4 linked regions of the Drosophila melanogaster genome follow. Changing the gene in region 4 together with the main gene of any one other region gives a genetic interaction. Each region holds a gene or a part of one and is shown on either strand. Other genes may lie near its edges.

What was found.
Region 1: of Csk (region 4) and p120ctn, changing one suppresses a phenotype caused by changing the other (phenotypic suppression), as found in Drosophila melanogaster (one study listed by BioGRID).
Region 2: of Csk (region 4) and HPS4, changing one enhances a phenotype caused by changing the other (phenotypic enhancement), as found in Drosophila melanogaster (one study listed by BioGRID).
Region 3: of Csk (region 4) and cpb, changing one enhances a phenotype caused by changing the other (phenotypic enhancement), as found in Drosophila melanogaster (one study listed by BioGRID).

What each region holds. Positions count from the first base shown.
Region 1 is NT_033778.4:4,593,001-4,598,935, reverse strand, and holds the start of p120ctn (p120 catenin), read right to left. Parts: upstream 3,649-5,935; 5' UTR 3,509-3,648; coding exon 3,474-3,508; intron 1-3,473.
Region 2 is NT_033778.4:17,684,031-17,691,661, forward strand, and holds HPS4 (Hermansky-Pudlak syndrome 4), read left to right. Parts: upstream 1-2,660; 5' UTR 2,661-2,825; coding exon 2,826-2,908; intron 2,909-3,227; coding exon 3,228-3,462; intron 3,463-3,525; coding exon 3,526-3,768; intron 3,769-3,823; coding exon 3,824-3,918; intron 3,919-3,976; coding exon 3,977-5,495; intron 5,496-5,552; coding exon 5,553-5,785; intron 5,786-5,843; coding exon 5,844-6,012; 3' UTR 6,013-6,792; downstream 6,793-7,631. Other genes in the region: CG42561 (uncharacterized protein), read left to right, coding at 854-874, 944-1,065, 1,125-1,368; CG42562 (uncharacterized protein), read left to right, coding at 1,813-1,836, 1,890-2,014, 2,077-2,308; swi2, read right to left, coding at 7,058-7,606.
Region 3 is NT_033779.5:1,702,323-1,707,717, reverse strand, and holds cpb (capping protein beta), read right to left. Parts: upstream 2,817-5,395; 5' UTR 2,607-2,816; coding exon 2,604-2,606; intron 2,588-2,603; exon of another isoform or gene 2,441-2,587; coding exon of another isoform or gene 2,438-2,440; intron 2,319-2,437; coding exon 1,491-2,318; 3' UTR 941-1,490; downstream 1-940. UniProt on the Drosophila melanogaster protein: F-actin-capping proteins bind in a Ca(2+)-independent manner to the fast growing ends of actin filaments (barbed end) thereby blocking the exchange of subunits at these ends.
Region 4 is NT_033777.3:11,643,252-11,649,142, forward strand, and holds the start of Csk (C-terminal Src kinase), read right to left. Parts: upstream 3,726-5,891; 5' UTR 3,595-3,725; coding exon of another isoform or gene 3,537-3,594; 5' UTR 3,465-3,536; intron 1-3,464.

The sequences.
Region 1 (5,935 bases), on a different chromosome or scaffold from region 4:
ATGTAAAAAATTCTTGGTTTGCACTGCCTTAGCATGATAATTCGAATAGAAATTGTAATAGCAGAATCTATGAGCATAATATCACATAATAAATTTCATAAATGACTTTGTATTGGATTAATTGAAATTCGAGTATTAAGTTGGCCTCGTGTGAAAAATGAGAGAAAGACAACTATTTTAAGGTGCTTATGTCAAAAAGTCAAAAAAAGTCAAGAAGTCAATTAAAAAAAAAACTGGTTGTATTTTTATATTTATTTTATATATATATATATAAGAAATATATATATATTTATTTTAAACAATGTATGCTTATATAATCAGTTTGAAAAAAATTTTTTAAAAGTGTTTTATTTATTTGGAAAATGTATGCTTTAAATAATTTGTAAATAATTTTTTCACCTTTGTAAATAAGATCTGATTTAATATAAAAAGGTCATTATTTCGGCCAGACCAAAAGTGTCCGTTTTACGAATCGAAAAAATTTTACGATTTTGAAAAACGAAGCATCGATTTTTCTATTTCAAATGGAAATTGTAAAATCCTTACGAATTCGATTAACGGAGCATGCCCGATTATTAATTAGAAGCATGAATAAAAATATGAAACGATAATAAATTAGTTAAAAGGAAATTAAATTTTATATATAATTTTTTAGTAGATAATTTTGCAACGAAATTGACAAACTCTAAAAATGTACCTTCGATTCTTACATCAAAATTGATTTTGATAAATGTATGGCCATTACTTATCTTTTTATTCTAATGTCTTTGGTATGACGTCTGAGATCTCGGGAACTATTAAAGCTAGATAGTTGATACTAAGCATGCAGATTCTGGCGAAGACTTCCCTGTGCAAGATTATTCGTAAAACCCTTACTTTGAAAACTTGATTGGATTTCTTTATTTTATTTTGGTCTTACTAATTTCTAAGTCCAAAAATAAACATAAGTTATTGCCATCCGATTTTAAATTCGTATCATAGTATTATAAATAATTATTTAAGGAAGGCACTTCACAATCCGGGTAATTCTAACCTTCTTCCAACTTACCCAATGAGGAACTTTAACGAACGATCCATATGTAATTAGCGCAGTCGCACCAGAATTGATTTAATTAACGATGCCTTGTATTGGCAGGACACGAAAATGAAGCTCCTAAGATATATGTATGCACACGTATCCTCATGCATTGTAAATTTCACTAAATATGCCCTTCACTTTACAAGTTCCTATACTTTTTAAAACTCAAGTTTTGCATTGCCTGAACTGACAATTATTCAAGTATAGCTTAGAATAGAATAATACATAATAAATTTAAAAAATAGAGAATACTATAGTCGAGTTACCCGACTATCAGATACTCGTTACTTAGCTAGTGTGAATGCGAACGCGAAATTTCATAATTTTTCTGGAATATCGATAGATATTGGGGAACAAAATGAGAAAAAAATTTAAAAATTGTTCCAAAGTGTGGGCGTGACCGGTTAGGGCGCTAGAGTGGGCTTGGCGAAAAGTTTTTGGCAAGTAGATAGAAATTTACAAGACTAATAAAACTATAAAAAAATCGAAAATGGTTCAAAAATGTTGGCGTGGCAGTTTGGGAGTTTAAGGTCGTTAGCGTGGGCGTGGCAAAATTTTTTTTTTTGCAAATCGATAGAAATTTACAAGACTAATAGAAATGTTAAAAAATATGAAGAAAATTTTCCAAAGTGTGGGCTTTTTAGTTTTGTGCGGTGTGTTGGCGGTTGTCTCAAGAATCTGTATTCTAAATTTCAACCTTTACTTCCATTAGCTTTAATAATTCCTGAGATCTCGACGTTCATACGGACAGACGGACATGGCTAGATCGACTCGGAGGTTAATCGAAGCTAATGCACTAATGCTTACAGCCTTATATACCAGCAGCGGTGAACTTTTCGTTTTCGCTTTCGCTTGTGCGCCGGTGCTTTCGATGTTGCTTGGCTCTTTTCGTTTAGCGCACTTATGTAGATTAGCGGAACGCTAAGTGACGCACTACCCTGTATTCGTCAGCTATATTCTCTTCGGCGTCATTTTGCACCTTTTTCACATTTTACAGTTTTGTGCTGTTTGTGGGCGTTAGAGTGGGCGTGGGTCAACAAACTTGGGCTGCGTCTGTGTCTCTAGAATCTGTATGCTGAATCTCAACCTTCTAGCTTTTATAGTTCCTGAGATCTCGACGTTCATACGGACAGATCTTGATCAAGAATATATATACTTTATATAGTCGGAAACGATTCCTTCTGCCTGTTACATACATACCTTTCAACGAATCTAGTATACCCTTTTACTCTACGAGTAAAGGGTAAAATGACTGTTGGATTAATTGTTATTAGAGTATTCAGCTTGCGACTTGTGAAAAGTTTTAGAAGACAATGATTCTTAGGTGCCTATTTCCGCACGTCGTGCCTCAAAAAATCAATTTTGCAATAAACAGGTTACATATTTTTAAAATTTTTGGTAATAAATAGTGATGAACTATAGTTGATGTTTCGTTTGTGAAATGAGTCAAAAAACCGCTAAACGGATATGAAGAATATAAAATATGAAATGATATGAATATGAATGAAATGAATATATTATAATATAAAATATAATATATAATGTAATGTAATGTCATTAGCATTGGGAATAATTGCTGTAGTTGTCCTATCATAGTTGTACAACAATAGCGCATAAAATAGTTCAGGAGAAAATGGGATGATTGAGAACGAATCACTTGTTCTCTGACAAATTTGTCTTCTGCCTCAAACCATCGCGGATAGCATACAAATTTCCCCCGAACAAGGAATCCTTTACGACAAACAAGGGGAGGGGGCTTTAATAAAAACTCAAATTTTCATTGGATGGTAAAAGTGATGGTAAAATAATAGTATGTATACATAATATACATAATAATATATGTGTTTATAATATACACAATTTTATTAAATATTCTTTAAACGGAAGGCATGGATGGATAGACAAAAAATTATATTGTGATATTTTTTCAAATAAATCATGGGAAAATTATTGTAATTCTTTCTGAATTATGAGCGAAACTGTAAGCCACTTTAATACCTAGCCACTCCCTTACAGCTATGTACTCATAGGAGACAGGTATATAAATTTGTACATTGAGAAGCCCTGATAACAATGAAAATATTATTGTTAAAGCATTTTTGCATGCGTATCATTTTATATGTCATGTATACACACATAAGTTCCTTCCTTTTTTTCATACAGTGATTGATTAGCTCGAATTAAATTATCGATTTTTCTTGTTTTATTATGTTACACAAACTATCACTAAAAAAATTAAATTAATTTTTTTTCATTTGATTTAATTTGATTTAATTTCATTCCTTATTTAATTTGATTTGATGAAAACAAGAATTCGTGTAATTTAATTAACACTCTCTTTGCCCTTTTTATATGCGAATTCCAACATATGTATGTTTAAATTAATACCACATACCCGATTAGGCTGTGTTTGAGAGATCGCGCTTCCATAGATGTCCATATGTAAAACTACATATTCACAAAAAATTGAAATCCGATTTTCCAGATATTAAAGCATTTAGTACAACATCATACACAAAAAAGGAAATTCTGTAATGCTTGTGACAAAAGAACTAGTTCATTATTAAGTGGTTCGATAATGTAAGCGCAATCGAATACTTTATGTGAAAAAATATCCTAATTACAATCGGTTATGCTCGGGTAATCGTAATTTGTTTTCGATTTCGATTTTGGCAAAATCTTTCGATTTCGTTTTGGGTGCTCTGGTTTTCGCAAAATGATTGCTATTGGGAATGTTTTGTTTCTTTCTGCTGACTTATTTTGTTTGTCTAAAGCAAATAACGTGAAAAAGGCCTTTTATATTTGCAATTGCTTGTTTTGAAGCCAGGAGAAGCAGAAATGCATTCAACAGTAAATAGACGTTTAAGCTGTTTTCCAGACAAGTAGAGTTTTAATTCTGATTTACGCAATTACTTTTCACAGCACTTTATCCAATTAAGTAACTAACTGAAATACCACTATTTACGAATAACACTTTTGGTCGTCTTTTAAATTAATTAATATTTTATATAAAAATTATTTATTTATTTTTTATAAAATAACTCAGTAGCAGAATGATCTTGTGCTGATGTGGAATAAACATCAATAGACCACTAAGTTAACTATGTTATTCCCTTAGTAAAAGATCTGTTTTGTTATAAAATAATACTAATACTTATTACTTTACCTAATTTTATGTATATTATGTATAATAATTAAATTTCTTTTCATCTGATTTCCAAAAACCTTAGTCCTGTTAACCCTAAGGAGTATTTGTATAACAAAGAAAAATATTTATTTAAACAATTTATAATTATATGTAATTTATTTAGTTGTGTCAAAAACATTAGAATAACAAGATGCGTAACGGCCTTACATTGGTTATGCAATATTCCAGCGACTTGTTTGGTGACGGCTGTAGAGCGTACAAATCTAGGAATGGTATGCGCCCGCTTGTGTGAGTAACAACAATAACTAAAAGTGTGTATGCTGTGTGCTATTTTTAGACGAAATCAATCTATACCTAAGAAACGAATTCGTATGCTTAGAGCCAATTTTCTTTTTATATGATCTAATCTAATATTATTTAAAAATGTATGCCCTGACAATTATTTTAATATTTTTATTTAATATTTGATAAATTAGCCGCTAAAATAAGGTTTCATTAACATATTTATATTTATGTTTGTAATTACTTATACATATGTAAGAATCGGTACACCATTACAATTCGAGCCGATTTGAAATTTTGTAATGTTAAACACTAATCCATGTTCACTTTTTGATATTGTCATCGTGGAAATTGGTGATTGGCAAAATGAGTTCGTCAATACATAGACAAATAGGATAATGATAGTTACAGTGCGTAGGCTGTGCAGATGAAAAGTGTGTTAGTACATTCGGACTTATGGAAAGTCACATGGGGTCGACTCGTCAAAGAAGAAAACGATAGTCCCGAGAAAAAGGCTTTATTTGACGAAAAAGACAAAAAAGCCATTGACAGTATAATATTGTGTATACATAGCAAGTCAACCACATAAAGCATTGTGAAACCGCTAAAGAAGAATGTCAAAAATTGCGTGAAATACATACACCTACGGGACCGGCGCGTAGTATTTGCTTCGTGTTACAAAATTTAAATGTGTGAAACGGGCACAGTGGGGGCACATATGAACAAATTTTATGACATTGTGCAAAAATTAAAAGAAGTGGGTTTTCTAGTTCAAGAAGAAATCCTAAGTGTTTTATTATTGTCAAGTTTGCATCAATCGTTTGAAGGCTTCGTGATTGCTCCAGAAACACGAGATGAGTTTCCATTACTAAGAATTCTAAAAATTAAATTGCAAGAAGGACAATGGCGAAAAGTAACAGATCAAGTAGAAAAATGTGAGCAAACGGTTATTGGAATTCGGTCCGCGAACGAGAATGAGAAGATCGATAATAAAAGAAACGGACAAAAAGAACACAAGCAAGTAAAAAACGGTAAAATAGTAATAGTAATAGTAAAAGAATAGTTACATACTGGAATTGTGGAGGTAGTGGTCACAAAGCTGCGAAGTGCAAAGCGAAGAATAAAATCGCAAGAGAGTTAGAAAGCAAATCCGAAATCATATTCGGCATTCTGCTCTGTCGCTCAGCTAGACAATTCGCCGAAAAATATGTGGTGTTTGGGCTCGGGTGCTACTGCTCATTTGTGCACGAAGAGATCATTATTTAAAAATTTAAGAGAATATAAAGAGCGCATTCTCTTGGCTGGAAACAATTACATTGAAGCGGATGGTCGCGGAACAGTTATTTTAAAGTGGAAAAATTCTACTATATAACTGATTAGGCCACACAGCACGAATCATTTCATAAAATGATATTTAGGTAGTTTAG
Region 2 (7,631 bases), on a different chromosome or scaffold from region 4:
TGAAATTTGATTGGTCTTAAGTGTTTTTCTATAAAAATTTTTTATAGATATTATTATAATGGAAAAAACCTTTTAGTATAAACATTTAATAAATACAGAAAGTGCATATATAATGCAAAAGTTTGTCTCTATGTCAAATTTTTAATTATTGAAAAGTTTTTATTATTCAACTATAAAAACTGTGTAATCATACATATATTGTTAAAAATAAATTAATTGACAATTTTACAATTAAAATTTTTTTATTTTTGGGTAAACAATTCTATATTTTCTTATTATTTCTTATTTTCAGTTAAGTATTTTTCCATTTCAAATTATTTTTAGCAAATTCTTAGAAATCATTTTTTACAAGTCCCAATTGGACCGTGTCTTAAAGGTCAAAATCCTATTAGTCATATACCGGGGTAGACTTTTTAGAACTGTAAGAATCTCACGTAGAAAGAATTAAAATTTGACTTGGGAACTCCCCAAGAAAATTTCATAGGCCAGGTGTTTAATGTAGTCACAAGTTTATCATGACAGAATGATTTTGCATTGGGCATGACGTGTGGAGATTGATTTGAACCAAGTTAATTGTCACAGCGAAGGCTACCGAATGCTTTTGCTAGATGAGTCGATTTTATTGTGTCCCTTTTTCAATTGCCTTATAAGATGGGAATTTTGCAATTATTTGAATTAGTAGGTGTACTGAAGTGTTTCTCGCGAAGCAGATGTGTGATTTTTTTGTATCTTCATCGTAAAAATCAAAACTCGTTTGCTTGCTACTTAAATCAACCAGCCTTCGTTTTGGGCTCAAAACTGACCAAGCGTTCAGATATTCAGATAGTTTTTGTTCAACCACAGACAGGTCATCATGTCTCGCGATTTTTTCGCGGTGAGTAGTCTTTTCGCATATGCAAATCAAAGTTTAAACATACCATTTTCAAATCATAATAATATTTAGCTGTTGGCAATTTTCATCTTCACTGCGGTCAACGCGGCACCGCAAATTTCACCAACTATCGTTCCGCAAATCCGCACAAATGGCTTTCAACTTGAGCCCCTCAATCAAGAATACTTTCTCAGGTAGCTAATCAAAGTCCAGAAGAGAGCTTCCCTTTACTTAGTTAGTTCTGAATCTGTAGAATCGAACATCCGGGTGGCACTATTCGCCAGGAATCCGTGAGCCAGAATGAAGCCGGACATCTGCAGGTTAAAGGTGTGATTAACCAGCCCTTCGAGGATCAGGATGCCAATCTTATTGTCACCTATGAGGCTGGTCCGAATGGATATGTTGCCAAATACAGCTTCGGCAAGGGTCCTCCAACACCGCCTCCTGACACACCATTATTCCTCAGTCCCGGTGCTCTGAAAACTGCAGCGGGATAGGATTTTGACTGAATATTTAGAAAACATTAAAACCACAACTTGCCGTAATTTATATTAAACCAATTCTGTATTTATAAGTAACAATAAGTAAGTTTATAATCACTCACTAGTTTATAGAAATCAATAAACTAGCTAGACTTTCTTAACTATAACAAATTGTTATACTTATTATTGTTAATTGGCTAAGCCCTATTAAAGCAACTTATTAGGTGACTCGGTCAATGATTCACTGTGGCAAGTTTTATTGTTATGTTATGTAAATCCCTGTTGACAGTATTCAAAAATCACATCTTATAGCTATACTATAAGCGGAGAACGATTTTTGAATGTGTTTATTAATGATTCCAGTTTTGAACTTGGTTTAAGTTTAGCTGTTTATTTGTTAGCTGTTTGCTGTCAGCTATCTAAAAACATCAGTCGCTAACCAAAAGCCAAAAGATCATCATGGCTAACCTATTGTTAAGCTCAGTGAGTTTTTCTCATAAGTTTGCCTGCCAATCGTTGTATAATATTTGCTACAGGTGTTTTTGATTCTGTTTCTAAGTCTGGTGAATTCGGCGCCCACAACTTCAGTTACCAAATTCGTGCCGCCCATAAACGATAATGGAGTTGTGCTAGTGCCATCTGAGAATAATTATTCCCTGAGGTAAACAAAAAATGAAGTTAAGATAATGCTGTAAGCTCAACCAAATGGCTTCCATATTGTAGGATTGATCTCGACGGTTCAACGCGGGATGAGATTGTTGAACAGATTGCGCCAGATGTGCTTCAAGTTAAGGGTACTTATAGCCAGCGTTTTCCTGGTTCGAAATACCTGCTGGTCACCTACAAAGCTGGTCCCGATGGATATGTGGCCAAGTATAGCATATCTAGCCAATCGGATACTGTGAACCAGATTCAACAGTTGCCACCCAATGTGTTGAAAACAGCTGCTGGATAGAGTTGTTATGATAGTTTAAATAAACATTGTATTACGCGCAATAAAACAGACAAGGTCTCTGTTGTTAAACATATATAAAATCTTATTAATGATATTTGAAAATCATTTGCCTCCGAGAGCTTTTTATAAAATATAGCATTGGTAATCGAATTTGTTACACTCTAAAACTGGAATCGATACCTTCGTCATTGAAGTGGTCACCACATGGATGAATACATTATACGAGAGCATAGTTGCTCGTATACCCACCCGCTCAACCGCAATGATGGAAACACTCGGAAGCTTTCACCTCACTTCTCACCTGCTGGTTCACTTGGGCGTGAGCGGAATTCTGATCACGCTCTCGTATCACAGTTGGTCGTATCAGGCAGCTGGGCCACATCGAAATCAGACAGTTGGCATTGTACGGCGCTATTGGCTTGTTGACTTATCAGAATCGTCGGTCGTTAAATGTGATAAGGAGCCACGATGCAGCGCTAGACTTGGAAGCACCGAAATCCACTAGATTTCAGGAGCAATGTTTCGGGATTGGCGCAAAACCAAGCACAAGCGATGGCAGAAGGTGCAGCAGAAGCAGCAGACCTCAATCCTCACCGAAAGGTTGCTCATTTCATACTCAAACTGTGTTTCCAGTGCACAAATATCTACAATGAATTGCATTAAACAACGTCAAACAAATTGAGATTGCATAAATCCAATTTGTATTTGTGTAAAGTTTTTTTTGCATACCGGTTTTGCTACAGCACTTGTTGTATCAATTCTTGAACAAGTTTTAAGATTCAGCTCACATTTTACAAGGGAAAATAGTTGAACGTAATTTCTCCAAAGCTTTTCCTTAACATTAGAAACTAAGCTAAAATATATTTCCCCGTCTCAAAGTCTCAATAACAATAACCCTTGAACTTTATTAAATTTACAGGGAGACGATGATTGTGTTTGTCTACGACACAGAGTGTCTCACAGACGAGGCGGATGATCCCATATCGGCGGTGCTCTACTTCCATCCAAGCTGGGTGTCCGACTCCCAGAAGGTGGCTCTGTGTGGTCAGCTTATGGGCACGTCGTATTTCCTCAAGGATTGCTTCTTTAATCCCCGCATCCTGGCGCTGCAGAATGGAAAATTTGTGCTGAAGGAATTCGGTCGTTTTATTCTGGTAAATCGAATCACATAATTTCACTTTTCTTTTATTAATCCGATGGAGTATTCTGTTTTCCAGGCAATTGGCACTGATCGAAATATTGGAGATCAACTGTTGGAACATCGTGCTGATCTGCTGAGTTCCCTGCTCAAGTTTTTCCACCGTGACGTCCAGACATTGTATGCCCAGTATGCTGCACCGCCCGCCCTGAACCGCCGGAATCTCAGCGAGAAACTGTACCACATCTTTGAAACATATCTGCCGATGCTGCAGCGCAACGGAAATACATTTCAAAATGTGCCGAGGCTGCGAATGCCAAAGGTGAGTGGTTAAAGTAACAAACCGAATTACCTAGATAACCAAGATTCTCTTCCAGACGGCCAGTCATATATTCCTGGAGGCTATACAAACGTTGCAAAGTTGCCAGCAGACAAAGGGAATACTTGGCGGAGCGATTCTGTACCACAACAAGTCAGTTAATCCGGCTAAAGTCTGAACAAATTGTAAATTCAAATACCTTGTCTTTTAGGGTGGTTGCCTCGCAACTGAGCGATATGGTGACCAAGCATCTTGTACTCACCGATCCTCTGCACATCCGCACTGCGGCCGAGCAAGTGACCAACCATCCTGAGTTCCACATACCCAACGGCGTTCAGATGCTGGTGGTTTATTTGGAGCATATGCAGTACCGCCAGTTAGCTGGCGAGGCACAGCGCGCCCAGAACCTGCAGATGAACACAGCTCAGCTCACCCAAAATGGTATGCCGTTTCAGTATGCCAAGCGTAAGATAAAGCGGGACAAGTCGCTCATTTTTACCCATATACCCGAGGAGGAGCACGCCCCGGAGCAGCAGGGAGCAGTTGAACAGCTACCACCAGCCAGGCCCAAATCTATGCGACCCACCCACCTGCCGTTGCGTATAAAAAGCATGCAGAGCAAAGAGCTACCGGAGTCTGGCATTGCATCAATAAATTTCGACGAAACCGATTCCTATCCGCAGTTCATTGGACGAACCAGCGTTTGCAATACTCCAATGACCGAGAACAAGGTACTGCCGGTGGCCAATGTTATGTCCATTTGCGCAAATCCCGAAGATGAGGGCAAAGAGGAGGATATTCACAATTCCAATGGCAAGACACATTCGCGTCGAAATTCTCTAAAAGTGGATGTGGAGAAATTCTTTCAAAACTTCATTAGCAATCCAAACAAACAGCTCACACGACGCAAATCATCTGCAGACCTGCAGGATGCACTTCGCGCCATCTCCAAGAAACTGAATAATTTTACGCATGGCCTCAAAACCGATGTGAATCGAAATGGAAGCGGTAATGGTGATGTCTCTTCGGATTCGCCAGATTTCATAGAGGACGATGATAAGATTACTTCGCGGACCATCAGCGATCCCACCTATCCGGTATTCAACACTAACGGCCAGCAGATCTCGCGCAGTTTGTTTCAGCAATTTCTGGATCAGTATCGTAAATTGTGGGGTGTTGCTAGTGAGCAGGCGCACGAGGATGCCGAGCTAGCCGCTCTGGTAGCCGAGTTCCAGGAGTTCAACGCCGAGATCCAAAAGCTCGACGAGCACATGAGACAGCAAGCAGCGGAAGCATCGTCTGCCGATAGGAATCTCAACGTTTCCGCAGCCAAAACTCCGCTGGACAAGCGATCCATGACGCTGCCATTGAAATCAGCAGGAGAATCTACTTTCGGAGAGCGTGCGTCCGGACGCAGTGGAGCTGGTGGAGTACCACTAACACCCCTGATGGCCAAACTATCTGTTCTGGCTCTAAGCGAAACAACGCCCATCGAGATACAAACTCCGCTGACAACCAGTAAGGTTTTCCCACGGCGAAGTTCACTGAAGTGCGAGGATGCAGTGGATGCATTGGCTGCCTTGACCACAGCCCCTGCTCAACCTCCGGGTCCAATTCAACCAGATGGCTTGCAAAGAACTGAACTCTATATATGCGGACAGCAGAATATGACCTTATTATTGCTCATGGAGGAGGGTACTTGTCAACAACAGCAGGTTGTGCAGAAGATGGTAAGTGAATTTATATTTTTTTCGTCTATAAACATTGTTAATATATCTTCCAATTAGTTCGACATTTGTGTGGCCAAGTTCCCGCACATGGAATCTCAACTGAATCAAACCTTAAATGTAAATGTGGAGGGCGACAATCGCGACGGGAGCAACTATAGCTTCATGTGCGTGGACTCCAAGTGGGATGTTCTGCAGCGGAATGGCCCTTGGAATCCCCTAGAGCTTAATATCCTCGAGAGCATGCACTCGATACATTCCAGTGGTCATCATCTTACAGATTTGATCTTGAGGTATGTTCAACAATCATAAACCTTCTTTCTTTGGTTTTATTAATATTTATATTTATAGATCCAACGACTCCGTTTATTATGGCCATAAGAATGGAAGGACCGAGTTCTTCTACAAGGAACCTACCCATCAGATCAATGGCATACCACCGCCCTCGGATCCGATTGGCAATATACAATCCCGCGCCAAGTCGCGACTGGAACGTGATCATTCCTACATGCTGTTCTAGGCTGTGCAATGGATCGTATATTATAAACATATTTAAATACTCGCATGCTTAGCCAAAAACAGATAATGTAATCGGGGACACCAGATAGTCTGGGTCCCCGAAGAATAGCCAACTTAATGCCATCCACTGTTATTTCATTTGCGATCTCTGGCTGATTCCTTCGTGAGTCTTTTCTTTTGTATAGTGGTTAGATAATGATTCCATATCATATACAATGCAAACCAAGGGAACTCAATTTTAAACGATCTAAATTTTACTTCGACTTTTATACAACAAATTTATAAGAAACATTGCCGACCTTTTTTACCGCCATTCAATGGACTCACGAAGGAAACCAAAAGAATTTTAGATATGCCGCTTACAGCCAGCGAAATATTAAGCCTTGTTTGAATTTTCACTTGATTGATGTAAAGTACAAAAATGTTTTAAGCTTTGTTTACAATGTCCAGCACTGTTGTTTAATTTATAAGCTTGTATCCTATACAATTATTTTAATCATTTTGCATTTGCTTTGACCGAAAAGATGCGACATTTTGCACTGATTTCGAGAGCCAAAGAATTTAAATCAAGGTTTTTAATTGTAAATATACATTATACAAAATTAGATTCATTTAAATGGAATAATGTGTAACTAACCTAAAATTCACACAGATTCCGTTCTGTCCAGTTGCAAACATAAACCTATCTTAGCTGTTTCTCATTATCAAAGATTAAGCGCTTTGTGCCAATTTAAATGCAGGATAAATGCTTAAAATAAACCGTCAAATATGTAGGAACGTGAGAACGAATGTTTTTAACCATACAAAACAATTTGAACAGTGCAATAGTGTGGAAAACAACTATTTTGAGAGTTTTGCGTTGACCTAGCTTAAATATACATACATAAATACCTAAACAACATTATTTATATATATATATATAAATATTCATATATGATACAAAGACCGGTATTGTTTTTGTAGATTTTCAAGAATAAACCGAAAGCCATCGTCGGTGGTTGAGAAATACTTTCGAGTTGAACTTCCTTTAACATTAGATCTAGAGACTAGGGCATTTTCATCACAATCCAAGGAACTCGACCGTAATACTTGTAGTAGTAGTAATCGTAGGCAAGCTTGCCCAGGATAAGAAATATGAGGCTGGCCAGCACCCCGTTTAGCCAATCGATGGGATGGATCTGAGTGCCGCCCTCCACGCTTAAATTGCACATCTCCTGGCGACTGAGGGTCAGCACCTTGGCCAGCAGCTGGTCGTCATCCAGGCGGTAGGTGCAGCTCACATTCCAGGCATCACGCACGATGTCCTTGTACTTCGTCAACAGCTCACGCATTCTGCTGCCAAACTTGCAGGTGCAGTGCCAGGGATTTCGACTTAGCAATAGCAGATTGGCATTCTCGTTGTCATCCAGAGCGTTGTCCAGGGCGTAGACATGAAGCTTGCGCAGATTGTTGCCACGCAGATTGAGCAAGCGGAAGTTCTGCAGCCAGTAAGTGTCCTCCAAGTTGTCCACATTGGATATCTGATTGTTCTCCAGCTGCATATCCACAACGTGGCGGTAGTGGGGATTGTCCCGCAGCGGATTTATGTCACTGATCTGATGACAAATCAAGTAAGTTACT
Region 3 (5,395 bases), on a different chromosome or scaffold from region 4:
CACGCAACCGTGTCTCCCGCCAGCAGCTATGTATTTTTTAGTTCTATCCGCCATTGAGGAGGAAAACCCCTTATTGCTGCGCTGCGCTGACACTGATCTTCCAATTTCGAGAACCGTCTGTCCGGCCACGCCTTCTGAGCCCGTGTAAAATAATGTATGTAATCGTAGTTCCTTCTACGCGCACGTCCTCCCCCCCTCTAAATAAACCTAACTTATTCATAATACCTAGCCTAAGTTGTAGATACCTATGCGACGATCCGAGAACTTAATTTAAAAACTTCGACTTGAATTCTTGTGCTGCTGCCCCTAACTACACTCGCAAAGGTGTATGAGTGAGCTGTTGGTGGTCGCCTCATTGTATGTATATAGCTGGTAACACAAGACGAAACGATCTATATAAATCTACGAGTATATTCTGTAATAACTATGATAAAACGCGACTATGCAAAGATTAAAAGTAATTGTCTAAGTAAGCACACAATCGTTTGCGTCACACACCTCAAGGTATTTAATTACATATTTTTAATCAAACGGTCTCCGATTTTCATAAATAAATGCAAACGTATCTTAAAGGTAGCCATGAACCAAACTCGCCATGTTTTTCTTTAGTCCTTATCTAACTAGCTTATGATATGATATGTCGTGACTAAAAGTAGAATATGGTATACATCGATGGAGTGATGTGTAGTAGTTTATTTTATATATCTTATCTTTTGCGATAATATGATGTTTTCCCCCAATGAAACCACTTCTAGTTGTAATTCAATATTTATTAGTTTCTTTGTATAAAATTTCTCTTGCCTTCCAAATTTCAGTTAAAAAATATTAAGTAAAGAAGAAAGGTAATGTGCATTTCCTCAGATAATACAATCACAAAGCGATTTCAGTTAATATTTTGCTTCGAGCGCCTTACTGTTAGATTACACACAAACACAAAGTTACAATTAATAAACACAATATTTATTCGCGGAAGGATTAAGAACGAAACGCAAGTGCCTCGACTTCGGTGCAAATATGCATTATTACAAATAAGATACAAATACTTATGGATACTGTCTTGAGGGCGGCGAAGTTGGCATTTTCGGCTGAACTCTGGATGAAGCGCGACTCCAAACGGCAACAATGTGGGAGGACAGTTGAAACGGGCGGGCAAAATTTACATTAATGTGCTTCTCGTGGTGTAACAATTTTCTCATGTAACAAATTTACTGCCTAGAAATGCGTATTTAATATTTTTTAGTCAGCTCTTTAGTCCAGTCCAAGCGGAGTCCTCCACGGAGCTGCTCAACACAATTGGGCGAGTAACAGCGAATTGGGTGGGTGCAGCCGAAATATTATGAAAATTATTTATATTTATGACAATATTTAGTGGTGACAACAGTGCCTTGCAATTCGAATATTGCTGCGCTCTTCTTGGGAGCAGCCAGCTTGTGGGACGCCCCTGGACTGGATTGGTTTATGTGGAAATTCAGCCTTCAGCCGCTCAGTACTCAGTTCGATTCGGGCTTGACATTGCGTCGCAGGATTGCCGCTGCGAGGTCCTGCTTCATGGCCGCCTGCTGGCGCTGATCGGCCAGTGATTGTGTGCTCCTTAGTCCGTTCACGATGTCCTTGGTCTTGCCAAAGTAGATCTCGTTCAGGGTGTTCCTGATCTTGTTCTCCATCTCCTCGACCATCTTGCCAATGTTGGCGATGTGCGGCGACGACTCGCTGACGTTGGCGTCCTGCTCCTGCTGCCGGGTGAGGGATCCGCCCAGATTCATGGTTCCCGAACCCTGTTTGTTGGTCTGCAGCCAGAGCATTGCCGTGGAGGTGAGCTTGTAGTGGGCCGTCCTGCCGGTGGTCTTCTCCTGTACCTCGACCACATGGATGGAGTCCCAGCAGCCGCGGATCATCTTGCTGCCATCTCCCGCCTTTTTGATCAGTATAACGGCGGCAAACCCGTGATCCAGATCCCATAGGTAGACGGAGGAGACGCCTCCCTCGTAGTACATCTCCCTGTACTGATCGAAGGCATAGTTCGCCTCGATTTCCAGTTTGCGCAGTCGTTCCGAGGGCATTTGGCCATCCTCCAGCGGCGGATAGTAGGAGTTCGACCAGGGCGATCTGTAGGAGTCCCCATCCCGGTTATAGTCGCACAGCAGATAGTCCTTGCCGTGCTCCTTGTCCTTGGCGATCTTCAGCGGCTGGTCCACGGAGGAGAGCAAGTCCTCGCAGAGATCCGGTGCCAAGTCTATCAGATCAATAAGGTTCTTCTCGATCTGCTGGGGCGGCAGCCTCCGCATCAGATCCAAAGCACAGTCCATCTGCATTTCCGACTGAGAAGAGAGGAGAAGAGACACCAGTGAAATTGAATTTGAGTCACTGCACCACCGCCGATAAGAGAGCCCAAAAAATCCCTCCGCTTTCCACTGCCACCCGGCAAACCAGGGATTACCATATATGGGCATTATTTGAGGCCACAGGCCGCCGCCCCTCTGGAGGTTTTCTCGGTGGATTAGGTGATTGCCAAGAATATTTGGCTTGCAGAATGGGCGGTTCCGACCAAAAACACCGTTTGTTGGCCTGCTTTTTTTTCTTGTTACTATTGTAGTATTACTCACCATTTTGGTACTTTCTGCTTTCCCTTGTTTCGATAGTTTTACACTGTTTATGTTAGGGGCCTGCGTTCGCTGAGCAGGGCCGATCTTAAACTCTAGCTAGGATTTCGGGCTTATATTGCAAGTGATTGCACTAAATTGACTCTTTTTCCTTATTATTAGGATTTTTTATTTTTGCTATGGTGTGCTAGAGCTGGAACACAGCCCGATTATTATGCGATATCGTTCATTTTGGTGGAGCATCGATTGCTCGCTCGATTTGGTATATCGATTTCTTACCCGCTAACTATCTAGCGGAAATATTTGAAAATTAACATAACGAATGGCAGTTACTTACTTACAAAAGGCAATAATTTGCAGTACACTTTATAAAAATAAACTCTGGCACTCAATCCGCCCGAAATAAAACCATGGTCTTACTTTTATTATATTTTAGCAACAAGTTTATTGAATTTAGTTTTCGTTCATATACTTTTATGCTTAATTCCATTCTGGTTGCCCATTTCCTCTCCGTGTTTTGTGAGTTTCTGTTACAATGCGTTTGGTTTGTGTGTGACTGTGGGTTTAGCTTACTCGTAGTTTTTAATATGTTACACAAAAATGTATGGCATAATCGTAAATTTTTATCCGAGTTCGTGTTTAAAATATATTTAAGCTGCTTCGCTTTCGCACTCTTCAGACATACATACATACTTATTTAGAAATCATATGCGTGCTCCGAAAACGTATCCTTCTGAATCGATCCTTGGATTTCTTGATTTTTACATTAATTTTAGCCAAATACGTAGCGTGTGGGATTTTGCCTCGTTAGTAGTAGTAGGTTCAATAAACTTAATTAACCGCTTTGGGCTTAGACTCGCGCTTCAAGTGCGCTCTTTAGGTGTATACTTCGACCATATACGATAAATGTAAAATCTCAGACTTTAATTTTTAACTAAGGTGCACTACATACAGAAATCGTTCAGAGAAATGTGAACTAAATCGAGGGATTTTTTTTCGCAGCTCTGGATTTTTAGCCAGGATAAAAACTGTTACAGGTGACTTGTAAAATTAGGGCAGGTTTCACTAATCTCGAATAACTTAGATAATTATAATTTGTATTTCTTAGTCGTTCTTTTGAAGTTTAATATTTCGGCTAATTAATATTGATTTATTTACTTATGCTCTGTCGCATGCTAGACACTGTGCCAATATTCGAAATCAAAAGCGGTTTCAGATTCAATAATAGTACATAACTCCATTTTCAATCGTATTTCTCGTTTCATCGTTTTTCTTTCGCTCAATAATTATGCAACACTTGCTTATCAACGCTTCTTCGACAATCAAATGTAATCACAGTTTTATGTTTTCCTTCTTTATATAAACTCATTTTCATTTAGCTATTTATTTCACTATTTTCGCATTTCGCGTCGAGTATGTGTGTGTGTGTGTTTCTGTGAGTGTGTTTGTTGTGGCTTGTTCTTCTTGACTTGTGTGGGTGGTAAAACTAAAAATTCTTAGGGCTGGTTTACTACACGCCTAGTCCTCATGTGCTTCAAAAACTCACCTAACCTTCTCTCAATCCTCAATCTTCAATCATCGATCCTCGATCTTCAACCTTTCGGATCCCATGCTTATGAACATCTCAACTCACTGATCCTTGCCATGATCGCATATTAGATTATTAATACTATTACGTATTTAGAAAACTTTAAGAATATTGCACAACTTGTGAAAATGCTGATTCTGACTTCTGACCGACTGCCCGCTCGATTCGTTATAAGTTTTTAAAAATATTTCATTTAATATTTAATACCTGAGTTGTTCATAATCGTTTCGCATGATTATTACATCCGTTTTGCGGTTGCTTTCATAATTTTTTTTTTTTTTATCGTAATACATATCGAAAAAGTTTCTGTTTTTCTTCTCATTATTTATTTTTTTTTTTTGTTTGTATTAAATGCATGTATACATCGTCGTGAGTCTTGATAATGCCCTGAGTTTGCTCCAAACGGATTTGCGTTTTTTTAAAACTATTTTTTTTTTTGTTTTTCGTTTAACCTTATGCACGTAAAGTACTTCTCATTCCGAAATTCCCTCGCAAGTGGACCGTTGTCGTCTTTTTTGAATTCAAGTGGTTAAAATTTCGTTTGGGTAATTCGAAAACTTTTCAGTTCAGAACAAAGTAAATCGAATAGTTCATGTGTAACTCAAGTTCTGTTGCATTCATTCTGGTTTCAAAAATAATTGGTCCAAATAAAGGAAATCAAAGGGGCGTAATCTGTGTGGAAACTTAACTTCAATCCTAAAAAGTCACACCAACTGTTCGTTTTTTTTTTTGACCGACAGCCTTGCTTAAAATTTTAACTTTATATTTATGCCGAAAAATTTGTACGATTTCCTCTTTATCGTTACCTCGCCTCTATATATATTTAATTAATTTTAATTTATCTGCTAAATTTCGTTTGTTTTTCCTGAAATTTTGTACTCGTCATTGTTCCAAAAGTTTTTGTAGTTTTCAAGTGTGACTTATACGCAATACGAACGCAATTTGAATGGGAAAACCAAAGCGTGAGTTCAAATAAAACAATCAAAATACACACATTAAATATAATTTGTACTTCCTTCGATCCATCGTGTTAGACAAATTTACAACAACTTGATTTACACACTGAGGGGCGCAGGGGGAGACGTGGGGGGAATGCTCTTCTATATATGGAGTATACACCATATGCCATATATACCATGGCGTACATACAACTAGCTTCATCTTCAAATTTCGCATTGAACTGAACTGTAAAGTTGCTTAGGCCTAA
Region 4 (5,891 bases):
ATCTAATTATCAATATATACACATAGTGAAATCAAAATGGGAGTTGGTTCTAATGGATGCCATTGTGGGTGCCCAGTAGCAGATAGTACAAACATAAAAATTCGCCATTTCAGCCTGTTGTAGAACTGAAATCGAGGCTAATGCCCAGTCCGTAGTGGACAAAGCCGGGCAAATTGTTTTCGTTTCTAATAATACTAATTAAGGTTCTGTAAGCGCTTCGATTTGCCATCGGCCAGCATGTGGATACGTCGATTCTCCATCCACAATGGACAACTGGGCGGAATCGATAGAAAAGACCAGGGCAGATAATTGTTAGCAAAAAAAAAGCGCAAATGGAAAATTTCTAAAGAGAAAATTCAAGCTAAAAAAAACAAAGAGGAATGGAATAAAAGCCCGGCCTGGATGGAAAAGGTTGAAAACTAGATGATGAAAAAAAAACCGAGCTACGTACAGAAATTGACTTCATTGCGAGGAATAACTAAATAATAATAACAACTCTTTGCCATCTATATGTTTGTTTTTTTTTGTACTGGCTTTTGGCTAGCTTTTTCCTCAGCAAGTCAATTCGCCACATTAACGGTTTGTCAGCGGCTCACTGAAATAGTCGACAATGGCTTGGAGTGCTCCACAAACAGCGAAAAATGCTGGTTGGGCCAAATGCTGGTTCGGCATTCCATGTTGGCTTATTTCTCTGGGTTGGGAAAACACGAACCAGCCGCCTGAATTGAATTGGAATTCACTGGAGAGCTCTGGCTACATATTGTGCAAATAATTTGGGCGTGGGAACCTCGCAGTCGACGTCGACTGCGCAGTGAGCTAAGCAAAACTATTGTCTATCCCCTAAAGACAGGTGACAAATGTTGGGAAAGTTGGCGGGGAAAAGAGATATTTCTGCACTGATATTGCCATTTAGTTTGTAAGCAGCAGGATTCAATTATTTGCCCATCTTATGGATATACAAAGGGGCAGAAGGGAAGAGGATATCAGTTGGCTTTAAGTTTAATCTTTATCATAGAATTCCCAAATATTTGCCAACATTCACTGCATCTTCACTTTCTTGAACTTTCCTAGGTAAATGTCAACTTACAATTAACTATTCAAATGAGCCAGAATTGGGCACGTGGAAAGTGATTGCTTATCATGACCCACAAAGGAACGGTGGCGGCCAAATGAAATTCTCCGCACGATGGAGTGTTTCTATTTTTCGGAGTGGGAAAAGCGTTCGGTCGCCCAAAGAAGCGCACCGCACAAGAAAGACAACGCAACTAATTAAATAAAACAATAACAGAATTATGTATGACACAACGAGTTTGTGTCGCCGCTGACGAAATGCAAAATGAAAAGCCAACGCCACAAAGTCGAATCAAAATAAAGGCCAAAAAAGTCTAAACCGTTGACTGAGACTGAGACAAAGTGGGCAATAAGCGAGGAGAAAAGCCAAAATAAAACAGAAGAGCTAAAGACAATGGGTCGGGTTTTTGAACCTGGTCGAGATGCGTAAGTTTGCTGGTCCGGATATCCTCGAAATGAGCGTTGGGGATTTTGGAGCTGCGTTTCGAATAGGTTTTATTAAAACCTTGCGGCAATACCTGTTGCATACATAATTTTGGCAAGCGGAGAGTGAAAGTTTCTCGAATGAATACCCTCCTCTTTTCACCAAAACGGCAGCTCTGACTTGGAGCAAAAAAAACAAATGATCGGCAATTTAACTTGAGACAAAGAGCATTTAGCATTCGCTATTGTTTCTGACCATTCCGGCCAGTGGCTTAATTAATAAATTAATTTGTACAATTACTTTAACGTGCCTGGCACGCATTACAAGAAAACGAAAGAGTCCAAAGCCGAGAAATGAAATGCGCCATTGGCTTTCGAGTGTTAAGTGTGGTCTTTGGGGGGCTTTGGAGGGTTTGGGGGCACATCTTCGGCCAGTTTGGGGGTTAAGCTCGTCTTCACTTGTGTGCAGTGAATGGCAAATTGAATAAGTGGATGGAAAACACATAACCGAAGTGTACGGGGAGCCAAGAAAAATATGAGAAATTGTTTCACGCGTCTGCTGCAGTTGTATTTGAAGTCTTTTTTTCTCTATTTCTACATATATATTTCTTTTTTTGTCCACTTTCACTTGGTCCAGCCAGCTTGGAGATACAAATTTCAGTGCGAGATTCATGCAGGACGACGGATTAGTTTCTCAGCTCAGAGAGCGTTGGAAAAAACTAGTTACAGTTTAAGGCTCCGGTTTTGCTTTTTTCTTCGTTTTTTTTTTTTTTCTTTAGTTTTTTGTTGGCCGATTAGACCGGCGATGACTAATGCGCTGGAAAATTGAAAATGCCCCGACACGCCAGCCTACAATGTTTTCGAATTTGCAGTCTTTATTTTTTTCCAGTTTTTATTTTGTCAAAGTCGAGTGTCTGCACGTCGCCAAATCCAAAATTAGCGTGCAAATCGATTGTGCAGAGGGTCTTTTAGGCCGAGTGATTCATGCAATTTCGAGATCAGCTGCGCTCGATCCGCCGCAGTTGCATCTGCGATCTGCGATTTGGGATCGGATTAAAAAGTGCAGTTAGAGAGCGAGCAGAATGGCAGAATAAGCGAAGAAATTGCAGTAATGGGAACTTGTCGACTGGGGGAATTCAATCCACGGAGACCTGAGAAAACAATTAGCACTCTGTGATTGAAGTTGGCCCGAAGCAAACAAAAAAAAAAAAAAAAAAAAAAAAAAAAGTGGTAATCGGTGAGGGGAGGGAAGTGTACAGTACAGTAACATGCTGCCAAGGCACTTTCATTCGAGACTTTCAAACAATCAAATATGCAGCCGCGACGCGATCGTCTTCATTAGTTGCACACGAAAAAATTACATGGTTTGGCGAAGAGCTTGAATTTGAATGATTTTAGAAAGGTGATCAGATCAATTAAAGGCCACCTTGTGCAAAAATCATTGGGCAACCAAAACAGCCCTTTATTAATTTAAAATTAATTAATTCGGCATTCGATATGGGGTCTTGTGAAAATCCTAATCAGATTTAAACTAATTGTAGCAGTCTAACTACATAATTAATTGAAAGCTAAGCCTGACTTTGACCAGTAAGCCCTAAAATCAACTTCAGTTTTGACCGTGCATGCCTTGAGCAATTTTGAATTAATCATGGACACACTCGAAACACAGATTCATACTAATGTCCGATACATGTGGCCAAAACCCATAATTAAGCGAACATCCCCAACATGGCAAATAAAATCAAACAACAAACACACAAAGGTCATTGCGCCACCAAATCTCGAGTATATACGTATGTTCAAGCCATGCTGATCTTTCAGCGCTTTTTGTTTCACTTTCTTCGCACTTTGATAATGTTTTGCATTAATCACTTCCTTGAGGCGAAGCCGAAAAATAGCTCCCGCCTGTATAATTAATTATTAAATTATTACAATAGCGATATGAACAATTCGCATTCGCGCGGTATTACATCACGATAGTTCGCCTTTTGTGCCTTTTCGCTGAACGGATCGGATTATCAAAAAAAGGCCACTTTGCATACCGTCATAATTTATTGTTATTATGTATTGCAAAAAGCCAATTGCAATCGATTCACTCATTGGCCAATTCGCACACACGCGATGATGAGCTGCGCATGCGTGGCAAGCGATTTTATTTTTATTTTTTCTTTTACTATTCTCTCTATTTACTATTCGATTTTTGAATCGAAACGCGACCGCGCGCCTTGCCTGCAAGTTTTCAACTGAAAAGCGATGCACGAAGTTGCCGCCGCGACTGAGTCACGATAAATAAAACCAAAAACACAAAATGAAACGAAAGAAAAAAAAACACAAAATCAACCTCCGAGTTTCAGTTTCAGAGAAAGAGAGCGCCGCTTGCGAAGCTCAGTCTCAGATTTTCTTCGTGTTTTTGTGAGCCGGCTTCTTCTCTTTATCGTGCATTTATTGCATGCGATAAGACCAGTCGCTCGCATGCGATCGCCCACCTGTTGCACATTTGGCCACCGACTGACGGTTCTCCTTTTCGCAGCGTCGCGCTATGGAAGTCAAATCGAAACATGTGTTGCCCAACTCATTAGGCCGATTTTGGCCATTCAAGTAGCTGCTGCGGTCTCGCTTTTGGCCTAGCTAAAAGTAACCCACTCTGCGGTCGCCTATATTTACACGGGAAAACTTAATTAAAAGAAATTTAGTTTATTTAATCGCATTATTAGCGATCCCAAGTAAAAACTAAAGAAAAATTGTAAGACTTACATATATAATTTATTATATTATATATATCAAATTGTACTTTCTACATAAGCCTAACATATTTATACCTTAAATTCATTAAAATCATTACGCACAGTGCACTTTGTGATATCGGAGATTCAAGAGGCAAAACGATCACAGCTTTGTAAAAACACACATCCAGCAACATTGGAGGCTTGTGACTCGGATCGATTTCCTTTCTGTTTCGTTTATTTGGTCTAATTGCCGCCGCTGGCCATGTTAATTAATTCCCCCATTATTGGTCGCACAAACCCCGTGCCCCCCGCCACACTCCTTTTCCCAACGACTTGTATGGCAAATAGTTTTTCTCTTGCATGTTTACTTTTCGTCTCCGTTTCCAGGCAATTTGTTGCCGCTCTCGAATCAGTTGTTTGCAAAAATGTAGACATCAAAATGTTTATTGTTTCTTTCGCATCCAGCGCTTGCAGTTCCAATTGCAGTTGCAGTTGCACAGTTCGTGATTTTCTCCGATTTTTCTCTTTTACATTTCTTGCATATTTGCGGAGCAATTAGCATCAAGTCGGAACCGTGCTCATGCACCAGCTCTCCCAGCGAATTTGCCTGGCGAACCCGAATGGCAAGTAGATCAAAAGGCGAGGGATTTGTGCTAAAAATACCCGCAAAAGCAACATAAACAAACAAACAGATGGCAAGGAAAAAATAACCTTTAATATGCGAAGAAAATGTGTCCGCTGGGCAACAAAACGAGGAAAGTAATAATTTCAAGAATGCGAAACATATGAATGTATCTACATATATCAACGGTTCCAGATAAACATAAAGTACACATTTCTGCACCGCGTTCCCAGATAAACGTAAATGCATATTCCAGCTGTTTGATGATAAGATTAAATGGTCGATAGCCTTTTTTTAATACGATAAAGTCAACGTAAACAAATTGTTGAACGGTGCATGGATTTAGGCTTTCTTCAGGGAAATGTATTTTTTCGTACGGTTTAAATTGGATCAGATGTTTTGGCAGTTGTTCAATAAGTCAAAATTATATGTATATTAGACAGCCACAATGGAATGCATATAGAAAGGCATTCACGTAATTATTTTAGACATCGCTAAATATGACTAATATATAATTTGAACTGAATATATATCTCTATCTCTATCACCTGCCCAGCCCTAGAAGTAATGGCGTATGACCAATCGGAATAAATAAAATTGCAAATTCCAATTAGCATTCCAATCAGTCCCGAGTACAGTGGTCATGCAACGGCGTAATTAGCGCAAGTGAAAATGGGCAGAGATAGATAGTCGTAATAGGCGCAATAAAGGGAATATTGAACAGTGGGCGCCAAAAGTTAGTACATCATCATTCCAATGCGAAAAGTTCACGCAACACTGACCTCACACAGCCAAACTTGCTCACTCACACCGATACAGTTGGAGTATAACGCCCACGCATGTTGCAATACACAAACAAACGGGATACATAGAACCCCGGAGAGAGAGAGAGAGAGAGAGAGAGAGAGGGAGAAGGGGGGGATGACAGTGGGTAGTGGGGGGAGCTTTGTGGCGCCTAGGTGTGACGTCAGCGACCGAAAATTTTTGCCGACGACGCAGAAACTGACCGAAAGACAGCAACAACAAAAGGCATTACTATGAACGGAAAC